3 linked regions of the Elephas maximus indicus genome follow. The protein of the gene in region 1 interacts with the protein of each later gene in a pairwise test. Links are inferred from orthologs where the notes say so. Each region holds a gene or a part of one and is shown in the gene's direction. Other genes may lie near its edges. The genes, in order: PCBD1, HNF1A and HNF1B.

Region 1 (7,568 bases):
CGGGAACCAGGAGACCAGCACAAGGCGGTTGCAGTGTGCTTGACCACCCACTGAGTGAGAGGGAGCTGTAAGCCTTCAGGCAGGGGACTTGCTGGTGGAGCAGGGTATCTCCAGGCACTTGTTGGCAGAGCTAAAGAACTGTAACACTTGCCCACGCAGGACGGAGGCACAGAGAATGGACTTTGTACAGGCACAATCGAGAAGAATCTGAGCTATCTTGGCTGGAAGCTATCCTGATTACAGAACCATATCCTGTTTCCTGAGTTGTATCCTGTTACTTCCAATTTGATCCTGACCCCGAGTTGCAGCCTGTTATTTCCCAGACCGCATAATCATGAGTATGGTCTGTGAGTTCTATGTGGCCACTGTAATGAATTATGGAACCCTGCAGAGAAATAAAGGGTGCAGGGGCGGGGGTGGGGGTTGACGGCTGGTGTCAGAAATGGTGAAAAAGTTGGAGAGTGGAGGTATGTCTGACCTCCACTTCACAGGAACCAGCTTTGTGCTGACCTTGATTCTCATCTCTCCTCTTGAAGTTAGACGGCTTCTGATAGTTAGGTTACACATGGGTTCTGACAAGGAGCAGCTCAAAAGTGAGAATTCCAGGAGACAAAGCAGAATTGATAAGGTTTCTTTTGATTAAACACAGAAATCACATAGTGACACTTCTACCACATTTAAGTAGTTATACGGGCAGCCCAGATCCAGTATGGGAGAGAGCCACTCAGGGTGTGAATACTGGGAGTCAAGGCTCACTGGACAGCCATCTTTGAAAACAAGCTAACATAAAAAAAAAAAAAAACATACTAACTTACAAAAGGGAATCTTCATATGGTGGTCTTAAATTAGGTCCCTAGCTGGTACAAACAGTTTGCGCTCAACTGTTATCCTAAAGGTTGGTGGTTCGAACCCACCCAGCGATACCATGGAAGAAAAGTTCCAGAAATCTGATTCCGTTAAGATTAAAGTCAAGAAAACCCCATGGAGCAGTTCTCTTCAGTAACGCACGGTGCTACGAGTCAGAATAGACTCAATGGCAACCAGTGATGACAACAGGTCTTAAATTTATCTAACTGTAAAGTTAAGGGAAGAAAAGGTAGAAGAATATTTTTGTGACAGGAGTGGGAAAGGACTTATCGAATAAAGCTTCAAAAGCACAAAATCACAGGGCAGAGGAAAAAAAAGATGGATCATATTATATCACAATACAATATTTCTGGCAACGAAGGAAATCATGGAGAAGTTAGCATACAGATGGCAGGATTGAGGAGATACCTGCAGTATCTAAAACTGAGAGGCAATTAATGTCTAAATATAAACTCCCACAAATCAACTAAAAAAAGAGAGCATTCTACATTTTTTTAAATGGGCAAAGATATTAAAAAGCAATTTACAAACAGTAACCCTCAATACTAACAAGCTTATGAAGAGGTGCTCAAAATCATTCGTAATCAGAAAGGTGCAAAGTAAAACAGCGAGCTATCATTTTATACCTATTAGCCTGGCAAAAATTAAAATGCTGGATAATACCAAGTGTGAGTATGTTTGCATGAGGAACGTAGGGAAATAGGAACCCTCACACACTGCAGGTGAGAAGAAGGACTGGTACAGCCATCTGGACAGCATATGAAACTATTCTGGGATATATGTACCCATAAGAGGAACTGCTGGATTTATAGAGATGTATATATATCTAAGTCGTCTAAGAAACACTCTCACAGGCCAGGTAGCTATTAAAGGAGGATGTCCACTGCAGCATCATTTCTTGGTTGTTTTACTTAGTATGTGTGTGTGCATGTATTCAAGGCCTTGGGTAGTAGCAGTGATAATGGCAGACCGTTGGGGGCCAAGCTGAGTGTCCATCACTGGTAGAATAATACACAATGGTGGATTCTCACTATGGAATACTAAGCACCAGTTAGAAGCCACAGATTAAGTACACATAGAGCAGCATGAATGAATCTTAATTTTCCACTAAGCATTCTGTTTTGTAATGAACAGATTGATATATGTAATGCAATACCATTTACATAAATTGAAAATACATACAGATGAAACAATATGCATTTTGCAAGGATATGTACAACAAAAACACACATTAACACATAAGAAAGGTTGCTACTGGGGGCAGAGGAATAACAGTACAAGGATAAAAAGCTAATAGAAAAAAAAGTTAAATATTAGAGGATTTATATTACCCAACTTCAAGACATAATAAAGCAACAGTAATCAGACAGTGTGGTATTGACGTCAAGATAGACAAATAGATCAATGAAACAGAATAGACAGCCCAGAAATAAACTCACATATAAAGGGTTAACTGACTTTTTTACAAAGGTACAAAGGCAACTCAGTGGAGAAACAATTGGATATTGATATACAAAAAGTGAATTTGGGTCCTTAACTCCCAGCATATAAAAAAATTAACTCAAAATGGATCATACACCTAAATGTAAAACTGAAAACTATAAAACTTCTAGAAGAAAACATAGGAGAAATGTGACCTTAGGTTAGGCAAAGATTTTTTAGCAACACCACCAAAATAGCAATTCACAAAAGAAACATTTGACAAATTGAAGTTTATCCGATAAAATTAAGAACTTTTGCTCTTTGAAAGACACTGTAAGAAAATGCAAACAAAATATTTGCAAACCATATATCTGATGAAGTTCTCGTATCCCAAATAAAATACTCTCAAAATTCAAAAAGGAAACAATCCAGGTTTTTGTTTTTTTTTTTAATGGGCGGGAAATTTGAACAGGCAATTCACCAAAGATTTACCTATGGCAAATAAGCACAGGAAAAGATGTTCAATATCATTAGTCCTTAAGGAAACTCAAAACCACTAGACACTAATTAGAGTGGCTAAAATGAAAGGAACAGACCATAGGAAGTGTTGACAAGGATGTGGAGGAACTGGAACTCTCCTATGCTGCTGCTGAGAATGTAAAATGATAGAACCACCTTGGAAAATAGCTTGGCAGTTTCCTAAAAAATTACAAACAGACCTAGTCACAATTCCACTCCTAGATATTTAGCCAAGAGAAATGAAAGCATATACCCATACAATGACTTGTACACAAATGGTCAGAGCAGCTTGACTTGTAATAGCCCCAAACTGGAAACAATCCAAATGTCCATCAACAGATGAATGGATAAACAAATTGTAGCATATCCATAGCATGTAATACTATAAAATAATTTTTAAAAATTATTTACAATAAAAAGGAACTATTGACACATGCTGGCTTTCTGAATGGTGCAAATAGCTTGCACTTGACTACTAACTGTTGGAATCCACCCAGCGTTGCCCAGGAAGCCCTAAGATTACAGCCACTGAAAACCCTATGGAGCACACGGGGTTTCCACGAGTCGACTTGACCGTAATAGGGTACTGAAAGATGCAACAACATGGACGAGCCTCAAAACAATTATGCTGAGTGAAAGAAGTCGGACCAAAAGAGAGAGAGAGAGATTATATACTGTATGATTCCATTCACGTAAAATTATAGAATATAGAAAATACAAATTAATCTACAATGACGGAAAGTAGATCAGTCGATGCAGGTGCGGGAAGAAAGGGCCTACAAAGCGGCAGGAGGAACTTTTAGGGATGATGGATATGTTCATAGTTTGATTGTGCTGATGGCTTGACGGTGGCATACATACCTCAAAACTTCTCAAATTGTGCCCTTTGAATATGCGCAGTTTAACGTATGTCACTTACACCTCAAAGTGCTTGTAAAACGGAAAAGGCGAGGTCATCCTGTGTCTAGGATCACGCAGCTGCTAAGCGGCAGAGCACGGTTCAGACGCAGAAGTCTGCGTTTGAAGCCCGGGTTACCACTCCCCAAACTCCTTGGAGCAACCGCACCGACGGCGGCGCTAAGAGGAAAGGCAGGCGCTGCAGGGACGCCGAGCCCCGGCGGGTGCGCCGCTGTGAGCGTTAATCATTACCTGGGTCGGCCGCTCCGGCGCGAACGGAAAGGCGGGCCGCGGGCTCCACCCCGGTCGGGGGCGGGCCGGGGACGGCCCGAGCGGGTTCCGCCCGGCCGCTCGCCTAGTGCGCCTGGCCGCGGCGCTCGCCTCTCGGCCGGCCGCCTGCTGCCTGCCCGCGTCCAGCGCGCTCCGACATGGTGAGGGAGGGCAGGGCGGGCCGCGGGAGGCCGGCCGCCGGGGCTCGGAGGAGAGGAGGGGGGCAGCCGGTCCTGGCCCAGGCCCGCCGCGAGGCCGGGAGCCGAGGGGCCCCGGGAGCGGAGGGGCCCCGGCAGCCGAGGGGCCCCGGGAGCGGCCGGACCCGCCGCTCTCCGCGCTGCGAGGGTCGGCATTTCCGGGTCTCGGAGCGGCCGCCTGGAGTTCACGCCCCGCTCCCAGCTCCTGGGGGTGCACGAGGGGAAGCTGAGGCTCCCAGAGGGGCGGTGCAGGGCCGGGTAACCGCGAGCGGGAGCCCAGGCCTGGCTCTGACTTCCAGGCCAGGGCTCGCTCCGCGCCGCGGTGCTGGGGCGGGGCTGTGGGAGCAGGGAACGGGTGAGGCGAGGCGTCCTAGGGAGCCAGCAGTTGTCGTCCCCGTTAGTGGCACGTTTCTGTTCTCTTCTGGGGGGAGACTGAATTTGTGTGTGCTTGTGCGTGCGTGTGTACTGCCCCTTCTCGATTGCGCTTCTGACCTCACCTGGGTACAGCGTCTGTCTGGGACCAAGGCCCATCAGTGGAGGCATGATGGCCCAGGACCATTTAGTCCGGGCTGAGCTGTCCGCCAGGAGGGTCTGGGCCCTTGACTCAGCGTCAGCACTCCCACCCTCAGCCAGGGAGGTGACGGTGAGCCTGTGGGGGCATCAAGGAAGCTTTACTAGACACAGCCTATTTCGGCCCCAACACATTCGGGGCAGTGAGGACTGCGGTGACAACAGGGAGGGCCTTTTGAAAACTGTGGCTTGGGGGTGGGTTTGGGGGGCAGTGAGTAAGGCTGTTGTGAACTGCAGGAGGCCCCAGACACAGGGGGCGGGTAATCAGTATCCCTCTGCACACCCGCTTAGGCTGGAGGCAGAGTTCAGGCCTGACGGTGAATTTACTAATCAAACATGGCCCCTTCCCCCTCCCTGATCCCACAGGCTGTGGGCTTTGGGGGGTTCCAGAAGACTCTGAGGAGAGAGGGCGTTCTCCCAGGAACTCATCAGTCCCACCCACCCCTCTCAGAGCCAAAGGAGTGAACAGTGGATTTGGGTGCCTGGGCTGACTTCCGGCCATCTGGTTGCCTGGATACATGGACCAGGCTTATTAGCACTGAGAAGGGCAAGCTCCGGAATAGAGAGAAGGTTGCGTGGATGACGCCGAGTAAGCACTGCCATCTCGGTAACCACTGAAGAGGAGGAGAGGGGCCAGATCAGATCAGTTTGGCGAGGGAGGGGGGACACCAGTCTTCAGGAGAGAGGAAAAGATTGATCTATCAGTGCCTGGCAGTGCCCCTCCAGGCCTACCCAAACCCTGCCAGGCCCATTGCCAGCCCACTTAACCCAAGAAGTCTTTAGGAAATGCAGTAACAGTGCACTTTATCAAATTGTCCTGTTAACTCCTCGTGCTGATCTGTGAAGTGGAAGTTTTTGTCCGTATTTTCCGCACGAGTCCAAGAGAGGTGAAGTGCCACATGGCCGACAAATGGCAGAACTGGGGCTTGAACCTCTCCTGCCAGTTCAGCCCAGGGCTGTCAGGCTGAGGGTTGCAGACCACTTAACACCCCTCACATTCTCTCTCCAGACTTAGTGATTTTTTTCAGTTTAGTACTTTATCAGTTTCTGCCCTTGGGTGATTCTCTCTCTGGATTCTACATTCTGGGATCCCTTAAGCTCCTAGACCTAGACAGTAGAACTGACCTTTGCTTCATTTATTCTCTGAGGGGTCAACTCCTGGCCTGAATGGTGCCAGTCTGAGCCACCTGAGGGCACTTTGCACAATAGGTACATATGACAGGACCTGGGGTTCCAGGGCCATCTGTGATGGTGCCCATAGCCTCACGTCACCCCTCAGCATCCCATTACCCACCTGCCATACCCCACGCTCCAGGACCCAGGCCTGCAGTCAGCAACCAGCTGCTCCAGACTGTGTCCCATGCCTAAGGCTCTTCCCCCTCTGAGTAGCATGGCTCACCACCCCGTCAGTGTAGAGGGCAACTTCTTATCTTGGCTGAGCTTAAGAACTCCTTCCTCTAGGAAGCTGGTCCTGGTTTTCCTCTGGCCTCCCCACAGCATAATTGAACACTGCCTCCTTGAAGTCCCCACAGTCTTGCAGACAGACACTGGGGAGCCAGGCTGTGTGGGTAGGGGTTTATCTTGGCCTTTGGCCAAATGACTTCCATTTCGGGTCTGAACTCTGTGGCCCGGGCTTCAGAAGCTGCCAGAATAAAAAAAAAAGAAAAAACCCGTTGCCCTCAAGTTGATTCCGACTCATAGCAACCCTGTAGGACAGAGAAGAACTGCCCCATAGAGTTTCCAAGGAGCTCCTGGTGGATTCAAACTGCTGACCTTTTGGTTAGCAACTATAGCACTTAACCGCTACACCACCAGGTTATTCCCAGAATAGAAAAAAAATAAAAAAAAGAAGATGGAAAATCTGAGAAACTGAAGCCCAGCAGCTTCGGACTAGAAGCTGCGAGGTGAGAGTGACAGAGAACCTACTAGATATAGTGCCAGTGGTTGTCAACTGCAGTGTGCTAAGAATCACCTGGGAAACTTGTTTGAAATGGCAGTTCCTTCACCAGGCCCCCAGGAATGCCAATTCAGTGGTCAGGAGCAGGACCTAGGAATCTGCATATTTCTGCTGCAAGTGGTCCACAGACCACCCTGAGAACACTGCCTGCGCTGTCACTGACTAGGGGTAGGGGTGGAGGGAACAGCAGACAAGCCATTTCCCCTCCCTAGGCCTCAGTTTCCTTTTCAATATACCTAACAATGAGTAATAGCCGGGCCATGGGGGTGAACTAGAAAAGAAAGATAATAGAAAGGAAAGCTGGAGAGTTGGGGGTACTCTTTTCCTAAAAGATTGTATTGTAATAAATACACTTGCATCTGGGTTTGGTGTTGCTTTTACTTTCTTATTAATGTAACCTTAGTTTGGGAGGCGGAGGGGCCCCCCTCTAAGACTTTTGTGGGGTTGGGAGGAGTGTTTCTGGGTCAGATAGCTTCCCAGTGATTTGCATTATACTCATGGATTTTCCCTCTCTGGGTGGAGTGTAAAACCCCAAACCTAAGAACCTATCAGTGAATGAGGAAGGACCCCACCTCCTGGGCAGGGCCCACCCTCTAGACCTCCCCATCTATTGCTTAAAGATTAGCTGTTCTTTGACCTTTCACCCAGCATCCAGAGCAGCCAGGGGAGGCAACATTCCCCAAATGGTCTGAGCCTTCTCATTTGACCTGTAAAAATAAATGCCCTTTGGCCTGTTTTTTCCTCTCCCAGGCTGGCAAAGCACACAGGCTAAGCGCCGAGGAGAGGGACCAGCTGCTGCCAAACCTGAGGGCTGTGGGGTGGAATGAGGTGGAAGGCCGCGATGCCATCTTCAAGCAGTTCCATTTCAA
Region 2 (7,568 bases), on another chromosome or scaffold:
AGGGTCACTATGAGTCAGAATCGACTCCACGGCAACGGGTTAAAGTGTGTAATCAGATTCTAAGGCTGGGGAAGTTCCTAGAGTCCACGGCCCATGCATGCCATTAGCACATACTTACGGTTTATTTAGGAGCCCTGGTGACGTGGTTAAGAGCTCGGCTGCTACCCTGTGGGGGCAGCTCTACTCTGTCCTGTAGGGTCCCTATGAGTCGGAATCAACTCCAGGGCAATGGGTTTGGTTTGGTTAATGGTTATTTAAGAATGAACTAAAAATATTTTTCTTCCATTTTCTGTGGATTAATTTTTTTCTTTTTCGCATTAAGTTTTAAGGACACAAATATAAACAAGTTGTTTTGATCAAAGTACTTAGTAAACATAACTGTTCATTTTGTGGGGAGTGGGGGGCCTTGGGGCACTGTGGAAAAATGACTGAGACACTGCGAGAGCCCCTGGATGGTGTAAATGGTTAACATGGTCAGCTGCTAACCAAAAGGCTGGAGGTTCGAGTCTACACAGAGGCACCTCAGAAGAAAGGCCTGGTGATCTGACTTCCAAAAAATCGGCCATTGAAACCCCCATGGAGCACAGTTCTGCTCTGACACTCACGGGTTCGCCGTGAGTTGGACTAGACACCAAGGCAACTGGTAAGCGTGCCTTGACCCAGAAAGTCTGGGATCTCTGCATTTTGCTCTTTACAAAAATCGGCCTAAGTAACTTGAATGAGAGAGACTAACTCACGTACCCGGGGCCACCCAGGTGGGAGATGGAGGAGGGAGTGGGGGTGTGTATGGGAGCAGGGAAATTCGAACCAGGTCCTGTGTGACTCTCAAGAAGACAAAATGCCTCTCCCACCCGTGAGTTAATTCAGCTTCACTCCCTGAGTATGGGAAGGAAGGCAAGCTGGGGGCTGGAACAGCCATTTCTGCTTACCCTACTACATCCCTTCCTGTCCATGAGAGGGAATGGCTATTCAGAGGGCCCCAGGCAGCCTCTGTGTGTGCTGGGAGCTGAAGGAGGCCCCTGGGGAGACCTCTCTGCCGAGACCCCCTGGAGGCTCTCCCCACCCACCACCATTCCCTCCCCCAACCAAATTCACCTTCAGTGCCAAAGTCACCAGTTCAGCCACCTGGCCATTGGAGGACCCAGCACTTAAGGAGTTCAAACATTGTGCAAAGGACCTAGGCCCCACACTCCTTGCTCCCTTTGGTTTCCTGTTCTAGATGAAAAGTTAGTGAGGGGTGGCTGCAGGCAGCCACCTGCCTCCTGGCTAGCGGGTATTGAGGGGGAAGACCAAGAAGCCACCATGGGACAGTTCATGGCACCTTCCCTGTCCTTTAGCCAGGGCCAGAATTCCTGTACTTGAGAATTTTGTACCCAGCAGCGAACTGCCTAACCCCAAAGCAACTCGTTTTGGCCACTGGGTGCGCTGCGGGAAAGGTGGAATCACACCCTCTCCTGGGGCAGCTGCCAGTGCCATCCTGCTTGGGTTTAAAACCCTGAACCATGGGACTCTGAGCAAGTCTTTGACCCTGTGAACCTGTTTCCTCCCCCACAGAATGGGAATATTAACAGTACCTACTCCATAGAGTTGCCTGGAAATGGACTACATTATTAAAGCTTAGCACGCTAAGTATGCATGATCAATGTGCAGTGAACTTTAACCATTCATTCATTCAACGACTGTTTATTGAGCACCTACTATGTGAAAACCAAAACCTGTTGCTTTTGAGTCGATACCGACTCATGATGACTCCACGTATTACGGAGTAGAACTGTTCCATGGGGCTTTCTTGGCTGTAACCTTTACAGAAGCAGATCGCCAGGCCTTTCTTCCGTGGTGCCATGGAGTGGATCTGAACTGCAAACCTTTAGGTTGGTAGATGAGTGCAAACCATTTGCACCATCCAGGGACCTTACCAACTATATAATGGAAACTATTCTAGGCACACTTGGTAAAAAAGAAGAAGAACCTCAATGAGATAGATTGACACAGTGGCTGCAACAAGGGGCTTAAGGATAACAACGTTTGTGAGGATGGGGCAGGACCGGGCAGTGTTTCGTTCTGTTGTACATAGGGTTGCTATGAGTTGGAACCGACTTGAGGGCACCTGACAACAACATTCTAGGCACTGGGAATACAGCAGTGGACAAAACAGACAGAAGCCCTGCCCTCAGGGGCTTATATTCTAGCAGATCATAAACAATAAACAAATTTGCATTAATTTAAGAACTATCTTTTATTGATATATAATTCACAGAATTGAAGAACAGGTGTACAATTCAGTGGTTTTTATTATACTCACGAGGATGTACAACTGTCACGTGCACAATTTTAGAACATTTTATCATCCCCAAAGAAACCCTGTGCCCTTAGCCAGCACCCCTATCCCCCAAGCCCTAGGCAACTACTAGTCTACTTTCTGTCTCTATGGACTTGCCCGTTCTGCACATTTCATATCCGTGGAAATCACATAATATGAGACATTTTGGTCTGGCTTCTTTCACTTAGCATAATGGTTTCAGGGTTCATCCATGTTGCAGCACGTGTTGCTACTCCATTCCTTTTTATGGCCGAATAATATACACATAGTATGAATCGACCACATTTTATTTATCTATCATTAGCTGATGGACATTTGGGTTGTTTCCGCTTTTTGGCTATATTATGAATAATGGTGCTGGGAACATCTGTGTACAAATTTTGGGGCAGACATGTGTTTTGAATCCTCTTGGGTTTTGTGTTCATTTTGATTTTCTGATATATTGCATTAGAATATTGTTTGTCTTGGCTACTGGGTTTTTTGGTGTTCCCTTAACCTGTGCACCCAAGGCAATTACCTGACTTGCCTCTCTCTAGCCTGGCTTTGCAAGTCTTGCCTCTTGCTAGCTGTGTGACTTTGGGTAAGTTGTTTAACCTCTCTGAGGCTTACTTGAGTTTCTTCTTCTTTCCTTGTACTACTCACAGTTGTTAGGAGGATAGAGGTAGTCCCCGATGACAAATGAGTTCTGTTCCTAAGTCTGTCTTTTAAGTCAAATTTTATGTAAGTTGGAACACTAAGGTACGCTTCATATCTACTTACTATCAGTTAGTCAAATGTTTGCTTTAGTACATGGTATATAGTGTACCTTTCTATGAATAAAAAACATTAAAGAAACACTTTCAGATACACAAAAACATGTTTAACATAATAATACAGTAATAATAATAAAGTTTTGATGCGTTTGCAAAGTAGCACTGGTTTGTTTTTTAAGAACCATTGTATATGTACCTCGAATTTTTAATATAATCGGCTTTATCGAGATTGGTTCGTTAAACTTAACCACGGGTAGTTTTTTTAGTATGTAAGTCTGAAGTTCCTAACCCGCGGGGCTGACTGTACAATAAAGCAGCAGTACCTATTAGAGATCCAGCGTAGCTGCTCAAGCACAGCAGACTCCAGTCAACAAGTTTTTCCTACCGGCAGGCCTGGTGTTGGGCCTGGTGTTGAGCCTGGAGAGGGAAGTCCCAAAATGGGCGTGATCTAGCCCTACCCTTGAGGAGAGCCTGCTCAGCTACTTAGAACTCCCTGCTACTTCTGTTCCCCAAGGAAACGTGTTTTTTTTTTTTTGCTCTCCTGCCTCAGCCTGATGCCCTGCGAGGCCCTCGGGGTGGACCCAATGATCGCGTGAAGTCCTCCCTGGGTCCCAACATCTTCGTCCCAACTGTCCTGGGCCCTGCGCCTCCGCCTCCCCCACCCTCTGCTCTGCCCACTCCCATTGAAGGCCGTGGCTCCTGGGCCCTCAGCGCTGCCGTGAGGCCTGCACTTTGCGCGCGGCAGGGCTGAAGTCCAAAGTTCAGTCCCTTTGCTAAGCACACGGATAAATATGAACCTTGGAGAATTTCCCCAGCTCCAATGTAAACAGAGCGGGCAGGGGCCCTGATTCACTGGCCGCTGGGGCCAGGGTTGGGGGCTGGGGGTGCCCACACGGCTCGGCTAGAGGGGCTTGGGGGGTGCAGTGGGTGCAAGGAGCCTGGCTTGGGCCCTCCGGGTTGCCGGCAGGTGGACGGCCCACGTGGTGGGGGAGCCCGTGAGCTAGGTGGTCCCGGGCCGCGTGGCCCAGTGGTGGTGGAGCCATGGTTGCTAAACTGAGCCAGCTGCAGACGGAGCTCCTGGCGGCCCTGCTCGAGTCGGGCCTGAGCAAAGAGGCGCTGATCCAGGCCCTAGGTGAGCCAGGGCCCTACCTGCTGGCCGGGGACGAGCCCCTGGACAAGGGGGAGTCCTGCGGTGGTGGCCGAGGGGAGCTGGCCGAGCTTCCCAACGGGCTGGGGGAGACGCGGGGCTCCGAGGACGAGACGGACGACGATGGGGAAGACTTCACGCCGCCCATCCTCAAAGAGCTGGAGAACCTCAGTCCCGAGGAGGCGGCCCACCAGAAGGCCGTGGTGGAGACCCTTCTGCAGTAAGGACCCCCTACTTGCCCCCAGCGCCCGAGATGGAGCCCACCCCAGCTCCTGACTGGCCTCTCTTCAGAGTCCGGAGTCCCCATGAGCTGTGGCCTTTAGTTATCGAGAAGGTGACCTGGTGGTGAGAGCTCAGACGGGTCCTGGCTGGGAGGCTGGAGCCCCTGGTCCCTGAGGCAGCCCCTCTGTAGAGTCTCCTGGCCCGGGAGCCATGCAGCCCAAAGCTCGGGAAGTAGGACATGCCCCAGGAGAGCTCCAAGGGGGCAAAAGGCCGCAGACACCGAAATTCAAATGCCCAGAGAGTCCAAGGTGGTGGGAAGAGGGTGGTGGGAATTTCTAGCCATCAAGGCCATTTCTGCTCCTCAAACCCTAACTTTCCTGCCCAGTCCTCAGAGTGTAGGCTCAGGGGCCAGGAAGCGCAGCTGGGGGCCTTGGCTGGGGGTTTTGGGGGCTTCCCCAACCATCTTGGGACTCCAGCATTTACCCAGGAAAGCCCAGATTTTTCTTACCTGAGGGGGATGGAGCCTGGGGGGCAGCAGCTGCTCCCCTTCCTGCACAGCCACAACCCCTCACACCCACACCTTGCCAGCAAGCGCCATTAGTGACTTCCTGGTCTGTACCCCCATCCACCTGCCGGCTCCCCATCTCCTGAACTGGGTGGGTCCCAGGCTGGATGCCTCCCCTCTCCTCAGCAGAGGTGACCTGGTTACTAATTACCCACGGGCTTTATTATTTCTCTTTTGTTTTATAAATTTATAAACAGCAAAAGGCTCTGATAAGGCCTGTGATCATTAACTTGTAGGGATGGTGGCCTGGAGAGGCCTGGGCCAACCAACCTTCCACCAGTGGGGGTGGAGGATGGGAGGTTCTGGTGGAGGAAGGGTGGCCTGGGGGCTGCAGGGACCTCCTTTTGGGAAAGGCTCCATAGCCTGCATCCCAGCAGCCACCCGCTTCCTGAGGTTTATGACTCGCCAGGCCCTGTGCTGAGGTTTCTCATTGATAATTTTGGTTAATGTTGAGATTAACCCTGTGAGGAAGCTGTTGCTCACTCTGCTTCACAGCTGGGGAAACTGAGGCTCAGTGAGGGGAAGTAGCCTGACTAAGGCGGCCCAGCTGGGCCTCCAAGCCCACTCTGTTTGGTACTCTCAACCCCAATGACTAGGAGCCAAGGGTGCTGGGCTGGCTGGGGAGCCTTAGGGTGAGCCCCCCAAAATGTTCTACAGGGGATTGCCTTTGTTCTGTCCAAGGTCCTGATCCCAGCTTGGGGTAGGGGAGGGCTGGTGGCTTGGGTCTTCCTCGTGGCCTCAGGGTGCCCCAGTTTGCCAGGCCTTGTGAGGGCCTGGGTAGGGGGCAGGGAGGCAGCTAGGGCCCCCTGACTTGGCAGGAAGAGGAGGGCAAAGGGCGGCAGGGCTGCAGGGGAGGGGCAAGGAGCCAGGCATCGCCAGATCCAGAGTGAGGGCAACCTGGGCAGGGTGGGGCTGGGCTGGACCTACTGGGGGCCCCAGATGGGTTTGGGGGTTCTAGGGTGAGGGAGCAGAGGGTGCTCAGGGCCTTTCTTACCTGGCTGGGTGGGGCCTCTTGGTCAGCAGCCCCTTAGGTGGGATGGTGGGGGGAGGCTTGATCCACAGCTCTCGATGGGGGAGCAGAGGTCAAGGTGCTCCCTGGGGACCAGGAGGGCCCTGGGGCCTTCCACAAAGCTGAAGGAGACAGAGGACGTCAGGGAGATGGAGAGAGAGCCTGGAGAAGCAGAGAGCAGAGGAAACCAGCAAGGAGAGGGGCCCAGGCCCAGCAGGGAGAAGGGGCTGGGAAGAAAGTGAGGCACCCCAAGCTGAGAGGAGAGGAGGCTGGAGTGCCTCCCGCCCGCCCCATTGGGTTTTCTTTAATGCTAACAGCGTGCTATTTACTTTCCATTTAAATTTGAGATGTTGCTATAAATTATCAACCAGCTCCTTGTTCCTGCAGAGTTTATAACTAACTACCTGGGTTACTTATTGTTCAGGTAACAAAAGGGATCTGAAAACGCCCTGAGAGAAAAAGTGGGGCTTCAGGCCTCCAGGCAGGGAAAGAAGACAGAGGCAAGGCCTGGGCTGGGCTGGGGTGGTGGGGGGAGGTTGAGGCTGGAAGAGATGGTGCAGCCTCAGGACCTCCAGGGGAAGCTGTGTCTCTGGAGAGGACAGGCATCTGAGAAGAGGCAGGTTTGGATACTGGGTCCCAGGCCTCCCTGGGGTGCCCCATGCTTGAGGCCACAGCAGAAACCTGTCTTAGTCCATGTGTAACCTTAGTCAAGTCTCTTCCCTACCTTCTGCCTTAGTTTCCCCCCACCTGGCCAATGAATAAAATCCAAGCTTCCTGCCCTGGTCTCTTCCCTCTCTCAACTTCCCTGTTCTCGTCAAGGCTCTCTCTCTCCCTCACTCACTCACTTTGCACTAGTTAAACTGACCTTGCTGTCCCTCAACAGACCAAGCTGATTTCCACCTCAGGGCCTTTGCACATGCTGTCCCTTCTGCCTGGAACCCTGGTTCCAGACTTTCCCACAGCCCATTCCTTCTCCTTCAGCTCAAACATCACCTCCTCAAGGAGGTCCTCCTTGACCACCCCATCTAAAGGTGGTTCCCACCCCTAGTAACTTTGTCTTTCACGGCTCTTATTTACCTTCTCCTATCACTTATCATTACCTTTGGCTATCTTACTTATCTATTTGTTAGCTTTCTTCTATCTCTTGGTATGAAAATAGAAACTCTTCAAGGGCAGGGCCTGAGTTGGGTGCTTGTTCACCACTCGTACCCTGGTATCTATCCCAGTGGCTGACATACAGGAGTCCCTGGGGGGTAGAAGTGGTTAAGCACTTGGTTACTCACTGAAAGGTTGGTGGTTCGAAGCCACCTTGAGGTGCCTCAGAAGAAAGGCCTGGCAATCTGCTTCTGAAAGGCCACAGCTATGAAAACCCTATGGAGCACAGGTCTACTGTGGCACACGTGGGGTCACCATGAGTCAGATTCGACTTGATAGCAACTGGAAACTGGTGGCTGACACATAGCACGAATGAATGAGAGACTAGGACTCTCTGAACCCTGGCACATATGCTGCCTCAGTGCCAGGGCCCAGCAGGCTGAGGCCGTGACCAAAGT
Region 3 (7,568 bases), on another chromosome or scaffold:
TTTACTCCAGGGACTGCATTCCTCATAGAAAAGCTTGGATTTAAGCTGCAGATTTTCCACTTGAGTAGAAGAACTTACTATGGTCTCTTCAAATTCAATTCCTCCTAAAAATAAGCCGGCAATCTAGGAGCCTGCAGAGTTCAGTGTCTGCACTTCCTTGTACCCTTTTCATGATGTGCTTCTTCTTTCTAAACATGTGAGAGCCTGCCATATTCCAGAAACCTGCAGGTAAGTAACACATTTAATCTTCACAAAAACAGAGTAGAGCATTATTATTATTTTCCACATAAGGAAACTGAGGCTCAGAAAGATTACATAACATGCCCAAGTTCACAAAGCTGGTTAAGCAGATCTCAGACTCAAACTCAGGTCTGTTTTACTCTCAGGTCTGCCCTCTATTCTCTGCTCTGTCTCCTCTACCTTGCCCTGATAGAATCCGCCTTTCAATATCCCATCTCCCAAAGCAACAAAAGCTGGAGGCCTTTCTTGGGGTTGGAAAGACAGGCCAAAGTCTTTTCTCATTCTAAAGCCCTGCTCAAAAGTTCTGAGCTCCAATCCCAGCCCTTCCATTAATTTACTCCAGCAGCTCCAAGCAACCTCCTTAAACTGTCCTATGTCTTATTTCCCCACCTTTAAAATGGGCCTGACTATATTAGTTCATCACCAACTTATCCTAGATGAAGGATAAATTAAGATTATTTTAACTGTACTATTTCTTCCTCTATTTGGGGGAAGTTTAACAAAGGGGTTTATTAGATAACTCATTTATTTAGCATTTATGACACACACCTTAATCTGCTTTATGACATATAACCAGCACTATCTGCTGGCCTACTTTTCTTCTTAAACTTCCATGTGAAGAGATGGGTATTGAATCTGTTCCCAGATGCACTGTTGTGGGTACTTGGTGAGCACCCACAGTGTACCAGGTGGCATATACAAACTACATTTGGACAGGAGGGTTGCGAAAATTTGCTGGATATGAATGGCCAGGTTACCGGGATACTCACAGGAAGTTTTCCTTATTCTTTCTGTGAAACTTCTTCTAAGTTCACATAGTTGTCTGGGGATGGGGGAGAAATGGGTTTGCTGACACCTAAATTTTGAAAGATAAAGAGGCTTAGGAGTCAGACTAGGCAGCACAGCAGTTGGAACTACAAATTAAAGCTTTGGTGTTAAAAGGGAAGTGATTGCTGATTTTTTAATGGGCTTTCCCAGCTAAACACAGAAACTGGTCTTCATTACACTTGAGTGCTTCTATCATGATAGCAAGTGAGCGACAAGGAAAGAGATTGATCTCCAGGGACATATACTCTGAACACTTCATTATCGTTGTTGAGGGGAGCTGGGTAGCCAGGGAAATTTTTTCATTGGGCAGAACTGTGAAGGGCAAGGACCTGCCATATGTCACAACAAACTCAAAAACAATAAAGTGAAATGAAGGGCCCTCGTTTGCACGAACTTATTATCTCTTTCTCAGGGGAAGAAAGACAGAGTGGTGTTAACCTTTCCTAGGTCTCCATGCATACAACCACCACAATTCTTTGAGGTTCTCAGCTGGCAGGTGGCCCAGGCACCAGTAGCAGGCCCAGTATTTAAAAGAGGCAGCCTAACTCCTCAGCAGCTAGGCTGGAACCAATCACATCTGGGGTTTCAGCATTCATACACCTGGAAGATTTGTTCCTAAACTCAGCAAATGAGAGTGCAGGCCCTTCCGCCTCTAGCCAGAAATCCCTTTCTACCCCCAGCCCGACCTCAGCTTCCTCCTAATTATCTTTTGAAAGTAGGAGAAGTCGGAGAACTTGCTTAGAAATTCCTTTGCAAATTCCCAGCTGATTCTGAATTTGTGTCCCTAGCCTCTCAGTTCCTTCAACCCGAGTGCTACTACCAGCTTTTAAAGGCTGGATCTCCTTGACTCCGAGAACACTAAGTTTGGTGGGGGTGGAAGGGTAGAGGGGGCGGTGGCTAGATTTTACTACTGGGGTTTCTGCCCTCCCAGACTGGAAAGTGTGAACACTACCATGAGACCACAGGTTTCACGCGTGGTCTCATTCAACATGTATACAACCTCCCTGCACTAGAGGTATCTGTAGCATCCCCGTTTCACAGATGATGAAACTGAGGCTCAGACAGGCAAAGGAGTAGTCCTCTGTCCTAGGACGTAGGGATCTGTGAGAGATGTATCCCAATAAGACCCTTCCCCTGTTCTTCTGCGGGTCAGGTCCCAGCCTGTAGACTTGGGTGCGCCTCACTCAGCCTTCCGTTCCCTTCCGCGGGGAGGGGAGATGCGGGCGAAAGTTCGCTGGTGCTGAAAAACCCACACCAAGCCCGAGGTGGGGGGGAAAAAAAAAACTTTCGCTTAGCGAATTTGCCTGCGTCTGCCCAACTTGGGTGTTCACGACTCCAGCCTCGTGTGACTTCGCGTCTGCAAAGCGCGTCCTCCGCCCCGAACCGCGTGTGTCCAGGAGCTGCGAACAAACCAGAAATCAGTCGGCTCCATCCATCCAGCGGCGGGCCGAGCTTTGCTTTCACTGCTAGAAGGGAGGCCCGATAATCCCAGTTTTGCTCCCAAAGCGGAGGCGCTTTGATATCCCTTGTTTAGACAGGAGAGCGCTGCCCAAGCGTCCACCTCCCCCGCGGCTTGGCCAGGCTGGGCGATGGTGCAGCCCCGCTGCTGGGGAGCTCAACTTTGGCTACTCCCTCTGACCATAAATTAGTTGGCGCCTCCTTCAAGGGTCCTCCCGACCCTTTCCCCTCATCTACGCTCTTGGTGCCGGAAGTTCTGCAAATCCAAACCGCCCAACCCGGCAGGTGAGGGCCTCGGGCCTGAGCAGCGGTAACCGAAGTAGAAATAAATGGGGTCCCTCCAATCTACCATTTATTCACCCCGCTCAACATCACCCCACTTCCTCCAACTCTCTGCGCCCCTCCTCAAGCTGTCAGTTTCTCCTCCGCCCGGCTGTTCTCCTGGCCCACCGCCTGCGTCGGCTGGAACGCCTTAAAGAGTCTCTCTACTCTTCACCTCCTCCCTCACCCCCTTATTTCAAGAGCACCTCAACTTCCTCTAGTTCTCACCTGAACCCCCGGAGCGCAGTTTCTTCATCTCTCGGGACTAAGGCCGAATCTGCAGCCGGTGGAAAAGCCCTGGCGCCTTCCACACTAGGCTGCAAGCTACTTGCTTAACAAGTCCAAAGGTCAGCTAAACTTTGGCTGATAAACAGAATCAGGAGAAGAAGAGCTTTAGCCCCCCAGCGTGATTACAATGGATCCTGGCAAGCCCCGCTCGGCCCGGGGCCTCGGCTCCCAGTGTCTGCCCCTCGTGCTCTCCCTCTCTCTCGGTTTTCCCCCCTCCCCACCACCATTTGCATCTTGCCGAAAGCCGGGCCCTTCCCACTAATTTGCATATCTTATATGGCCTAATGGTGGCGATCATGGCAAGGTAGAAGTTTTCTGACTCCTCTGGAGGAGACTCCGGGCCCCGGAGAGTAACAGGTGTCTGGAGGCTGAAGGGTGGGGGGGCTCCCGGACTTGGGGTTCGCTGGTGAAACTCCCCCTCCACCCTCCTCTCTCGCACCCACCCACCCCCTCACCCCCTTTTTACCCCCGTCCTTGGAAAATGGTGTCCAAGCTCACGTCGCTCCAGCAAGAACTCCTGAGCGCCCTGCTGAGCTCCGGGGTCACCAAGGAGGTGCTGGTCCAGGCCTTGGAAGAGTTGCTGCCATCCCCGAGTTTTGGGGTGAAGCTGGAGACGCTGCCCTTGTCCCCCGGGAGCGGGGCCGAGCCAGACACCAAGCCGGTCTTCCACACTCTCACCAACGGCCACGCCAAGGGCCGCCTGTCTGGGGACGAGGGCTCTGAGGACGGGGACGACTATGACACCCCTCCCATCCTCAAGGAGCTACAGGCGCTCAACACCGAGGAGGCGGCGGAGCAGCGGGCCGAGGTGGACCGGATGCTCAGGTAGGCACCGAGCGAGGCTAGAGGTGTGCGCCTGAGACCTCTGCACCTTGGGCCCTGTGCCTGAGCGACACAGCGCTCAACCACTTTCGCCAGCCTGTTTCCCACCAGAAAAGTCCCCCGGGGGGCGCTCCGCTTCTCTCCCAACACCCGGACCCCTCCCAGTTTCTCAACCAAACGACTCCGGGACCCCGAGGCTTTCTCTCCCCAAACCTAGGCCCAGCGCCGGGACCCGAGGGATCCTCCAGGCTGGCTGGGGTTTGGCCGGGAGAACCGGCCGCTGCGAAGCCCTTTGCCTAGAGGTTTGCCCACGAGACTGGAGGTGCGGATGGGTGCCAAGACAGCAGTGTTTTCCCCAGTCCCAGATGCTCGGGCCTGCTACAAGCCCCAGGCCACTCATTTATCCTGGTTGCCACCTCTTGGGTCCGGGAAAAAGAAGGCCAGCCTCGGGCGCAGCGTTCTTTCGTTTCTTGCTGGGGGATTGGCGGCACTCAGGGCCAGGATCTCAGAGGCGGTTCTCTGGTGGGCACCCGCGCTAGCTGCGCGGGTGCAAGGTCCCTGGATTATCCCAAAGCCGGTTTACATTTGCAAAGGGGAATGCTTGATGTAGGATGATTGGGCCCACGCGGGGCAAAAGAAAGCACGCATTTAAGCCAACGTGGGGCAATTGCGGCCAAGAGCCCGGGTCTCAGCGAGTTTGGTCTCAACCTGAGAAAGGAGGGCACTTGGCGATCTCGCCGCCGACACTCTGGCGTTCCCCGGGGAATTCAGGCAGGCTGGCCGCCTATCTCAGTTCCAGGATCGTTTGCTGGACCTCCCCAGACGGTCCAGGGCTTTGACAGCTAGTTACTAATTATCCAAGGAGCAAAGCGGTTCCCTTAGACCACACGTCGCTCCCGGCCACTCGGCTTTAGGACCGAGCCGCTCGCGTGGCCTCGGACGCTCCAGCGCCTCGGTCTCGAGGCAACCGCCAAGACCCAAGTCGCTCCCGGGGCGCTGGCGGCCTCAGCCGCACGCCCGCGGCTGCAATTTGGGGTGGGGTATGACCTTGCATTTGAATTTGCGCTCCGGGGGCCCTACGGCTTGCCCTTCAGTCGGTGCATGGTGGGGGGGGGGGGGGAGACTTTATTTATTTTTTGAAGTATTTTGCTGCAATTCGTTTTGAGATTTTTTTTCTTCGCCTTTCCCCGGCGTGGTGGCGATTTCTCCCTGGCGGGCGTTAGGGCGCAGGAAAAGTGTGAGTCCCGGAGGTTGAGAGGGATCGGAAGACGAGTCCCTTGGAGCGTCTGAGGCACCAGCGCAGCCTGAAGGCTGACCCGGGCCTGGCCGACTACCCGAGCTCCCGTTGCCTTCCATCGGGGGCCAGCGGGCCTAGACCCTTTCGCTAGCCACAGGCGCCTGCTTTTTTGGCCCGGTGCTCGGAGGATCCGGGAAGCCCGATGGGACCTAGGGCGCCCCTCTACACCCAGCCCCGCGCCGGGCTGGTAGCAGCAGAGATGTAACATAAACTACAGCACGTGGAGTTGGGGTGTTATTAATTTATTTCTATAAATCATCAACAGAAAGATACACAAAGAGCAGTGATTAGGTTGAAAAGAGCAGCGGGTTATTCATTGGTGAAGTTGTAAACTAGGCTTAGAGGGGGAAGGAAATCCAAACTCGGACGCGGGGCTGCTAGCCGCTCCCAGCGCACACGCATAGTGCGCGGGGCGCGCCAGCCAGGCCCAGGTGCCGCCCGCCGTCTGACCCGGGCTGTCCGAGCGCCGGAGCCGCCAGCGGAGTCCGAGGGCCGCCAGAGAGAGCCAGGTCCGGCGGGGAGGACCCGGGACCTCAGCCCTGTTCCCTGTGCAAAGCCCCTCAGCTCCAGCAGGGCGGAGGGGGAGGGTGGGGACGCAGGACAGACTCCGAGGCTTTTCTTCCTTTTCCAAACGGGTGCGCCTCCCCTCCCCCACCCCCCCCCCCGGGAGTGGTCCGACTTTATTAAAGTAATTTTTCAAGAAAGTGTTAGCGGTTCCCAGGTCACTGCACAGTCGGCTCCCAAGCGCCAGCACACGCAGTCTCTTTTTTGTCCACCTTGTTCCCCTAAAGCAAAAAGAAAAGAAAAGGGAAAGCCACTTTTTTGGAGCGCCTGGACGTTCTTTATACCTCCTAGAAGATAAAGAAAAGAAAGCCGGGGAGTGCACGCTTCCCGGTTACCAACTCCCGGCCTTGCTCGCCGGCTTCTAGGGCTCGGGCGTGTTGGCGTTTGGAAAGTTAGCTGCTTTCAGAGAAGCCGGAGTTGAGCCTTCTTAACGAACGCGCGGCGAATTGCGGTAGGGTCGAGGGCTTTTCTGCTCGTGGACAGCCAAGTTATTGTTTGAAAAGGACCTTGCTGGGCGGACAATGCGGGCGCCGAGGTCGGGCGATTGACACCTGCGCTCTGAACACAATGGCCGCGCGCGCCTCTGGAGATCCGTGTATTTGTCCTGGTTGGAAACCCATGAAAATTGCTGTATTTTCAAATTAAAAAAAAAAAAAAAAGACTGCCAGTTCTCCGAGCTCTTCTCCGTGAATACATGTGAATTCTGGGGCCAGATAGCTTAAAGGTTTTACTATAGTTTATAGGATTTTCCTGAGATTTTTTTGTTTTTGTTTTTGTTTTGTTTTTAACCTTCCCAATTGTTGAGCTAATTTAGCACTCTTTCCACAAAACTCTTCTCACTTAAAACATTACACTATTTCATTAGGTTTCCTGAACACACAAAATTAACACAGGTAAAGAAATTTAAAACAAAACAAAAATAGCCAAGAAATCTGTTAAAGCAATAATAATAATAAAAAAAGCAATATTAACTTTTAAAATCCAGACACTTCTTCTCCCTTTTGAAGCGACTGTTCGAATTTGTTCGAAGTGTTTTTCCACCCTAGAAATACCCGTGGAAAAATTCTCCACGAGTTAGTTTTAAAATGATCTCTGATATTTAAATTGATATGTCCAAAATGCTTATTACATAATTTTTCTCTTATTCAAGGTCACTTTCCAAGCTTGAAACCGTAACACATTTTCTCATTTTGTTGTTTTTGTTGTTACTTCATTATTATATATTATGTGTCAGTACCTTTGTGAATACTTAAGAAATTCCTTATTAATTTACATATAATTAATACTAAAAGTTTGCGTTCCTCAAAAACTGTTAATCAAAGCTCGCGTTCTCCTGAATTTAATATCAAAGGCTTGCTTCAATAATCACAACTACTCAAATGCTTACAAAATATCTCGGTCTAGTTAATGGGCTTTTTTATTTATTCATTAGGCAAAGTTAATTTTATTTGACAAAGTATAGATAGCATGTAGAAATAAATTGGTTATTACATTGCAACACAGTATCTGTTTTGGCTTCTGCCTTACACCATTTTTTATTGCTTCACCCGAAATTAGTGCTTCCCTTTATTTTTCTGCTGTCTGTCAGGCTAATATACACATCAGCATACACTAGAGGGATGTTGGCTTCTGTAAATTAAATATGTAGCTGCATTAAATAGTGCATGTGGATGTATTGCTTCTTTAATATTTTGTTTGTACGGTGCATTATTGTCTTAATTTCTTGTTTTAAATAATATCTTATTTTTAA

What was found.
Region 2: the proteins of PCBD1 (region 1) and HNF1A interact in binary tests that used the Homo sapiens proteins (3 or more experiments, as listed by UniProt). The link is inferred for Elephas maximus indicus from reciprocal best matches to the Homo sapiens genes PCBD1 and HNF1A.
Region 3: the proteins of PCBD1 (region 1) and HNF1B interact in binary tests that used the Homo sapiens proteins (3 or more experiments, as listed by UniProt). The link is inferred for Elephas maximus indicus from reciprocal best matches to the Homo sapiens genes PCBD1 and HNF1B.

The regions. Positions count from the first base shown.
Region 1 is NC_064834.1:16,846,541-16,854,108, forward strand, and holds the start of PCBD1 (pterin-4-alpha-carbinolamine dehydratase), read left to right. Parts: upstream 1-4,005; 5' UTR 4,006-4,133; coding exon 4,134-4,136; intron 4,137-5,109; exon of another isoform or gene 5,110-5,331; intron 5,332-7,449; coding exon 7,450-7,568. UniProt on the Homo sapiens protein: Involved in tetrahydrobiopterin biosynthesis. Seems to both prevent the formation of 7-pterins and accelerate the formation of quinonoid-BH2. Coactivator for HNF1A-dependent transcription.
Region 2 is NC_064840.1:18,352,193-18,359,760, forward strand, and holds the start of HNF1A (hepatocyte nuclear factor 1-alpha), read left to right. Parts: upstream 1-4,113; coding exon 4,114-4,439; intron 4,440-7,568. UniProt on the Homo sapiens protein: Transcriptional activator that regulates the tissue specific expression of multiple genes, especially in pancreatic islet cells and in liver. Binds to the inverted palindrome 5'-GTTAATNATTAAC-3'.
Region 3 is NC_064837.1:31,001,900-31,009,467, forward strand, and holds the start of HNF1B (hepatocyte nuclear factor 1-beta), read left to right. Parts: upstream 1-3,616; coding exon 3,617-3,960; intron 3,961-7,568. UniProt on the Homo sapiens protein: Transcription factor that binds to the inverted palindrome 5'-GTTAATNATTAAC-3'. Binds to the FPC element in the cAMP regulatory unit of the PLAU gene. Transcriptional activity is increased by coactivator PCBD1.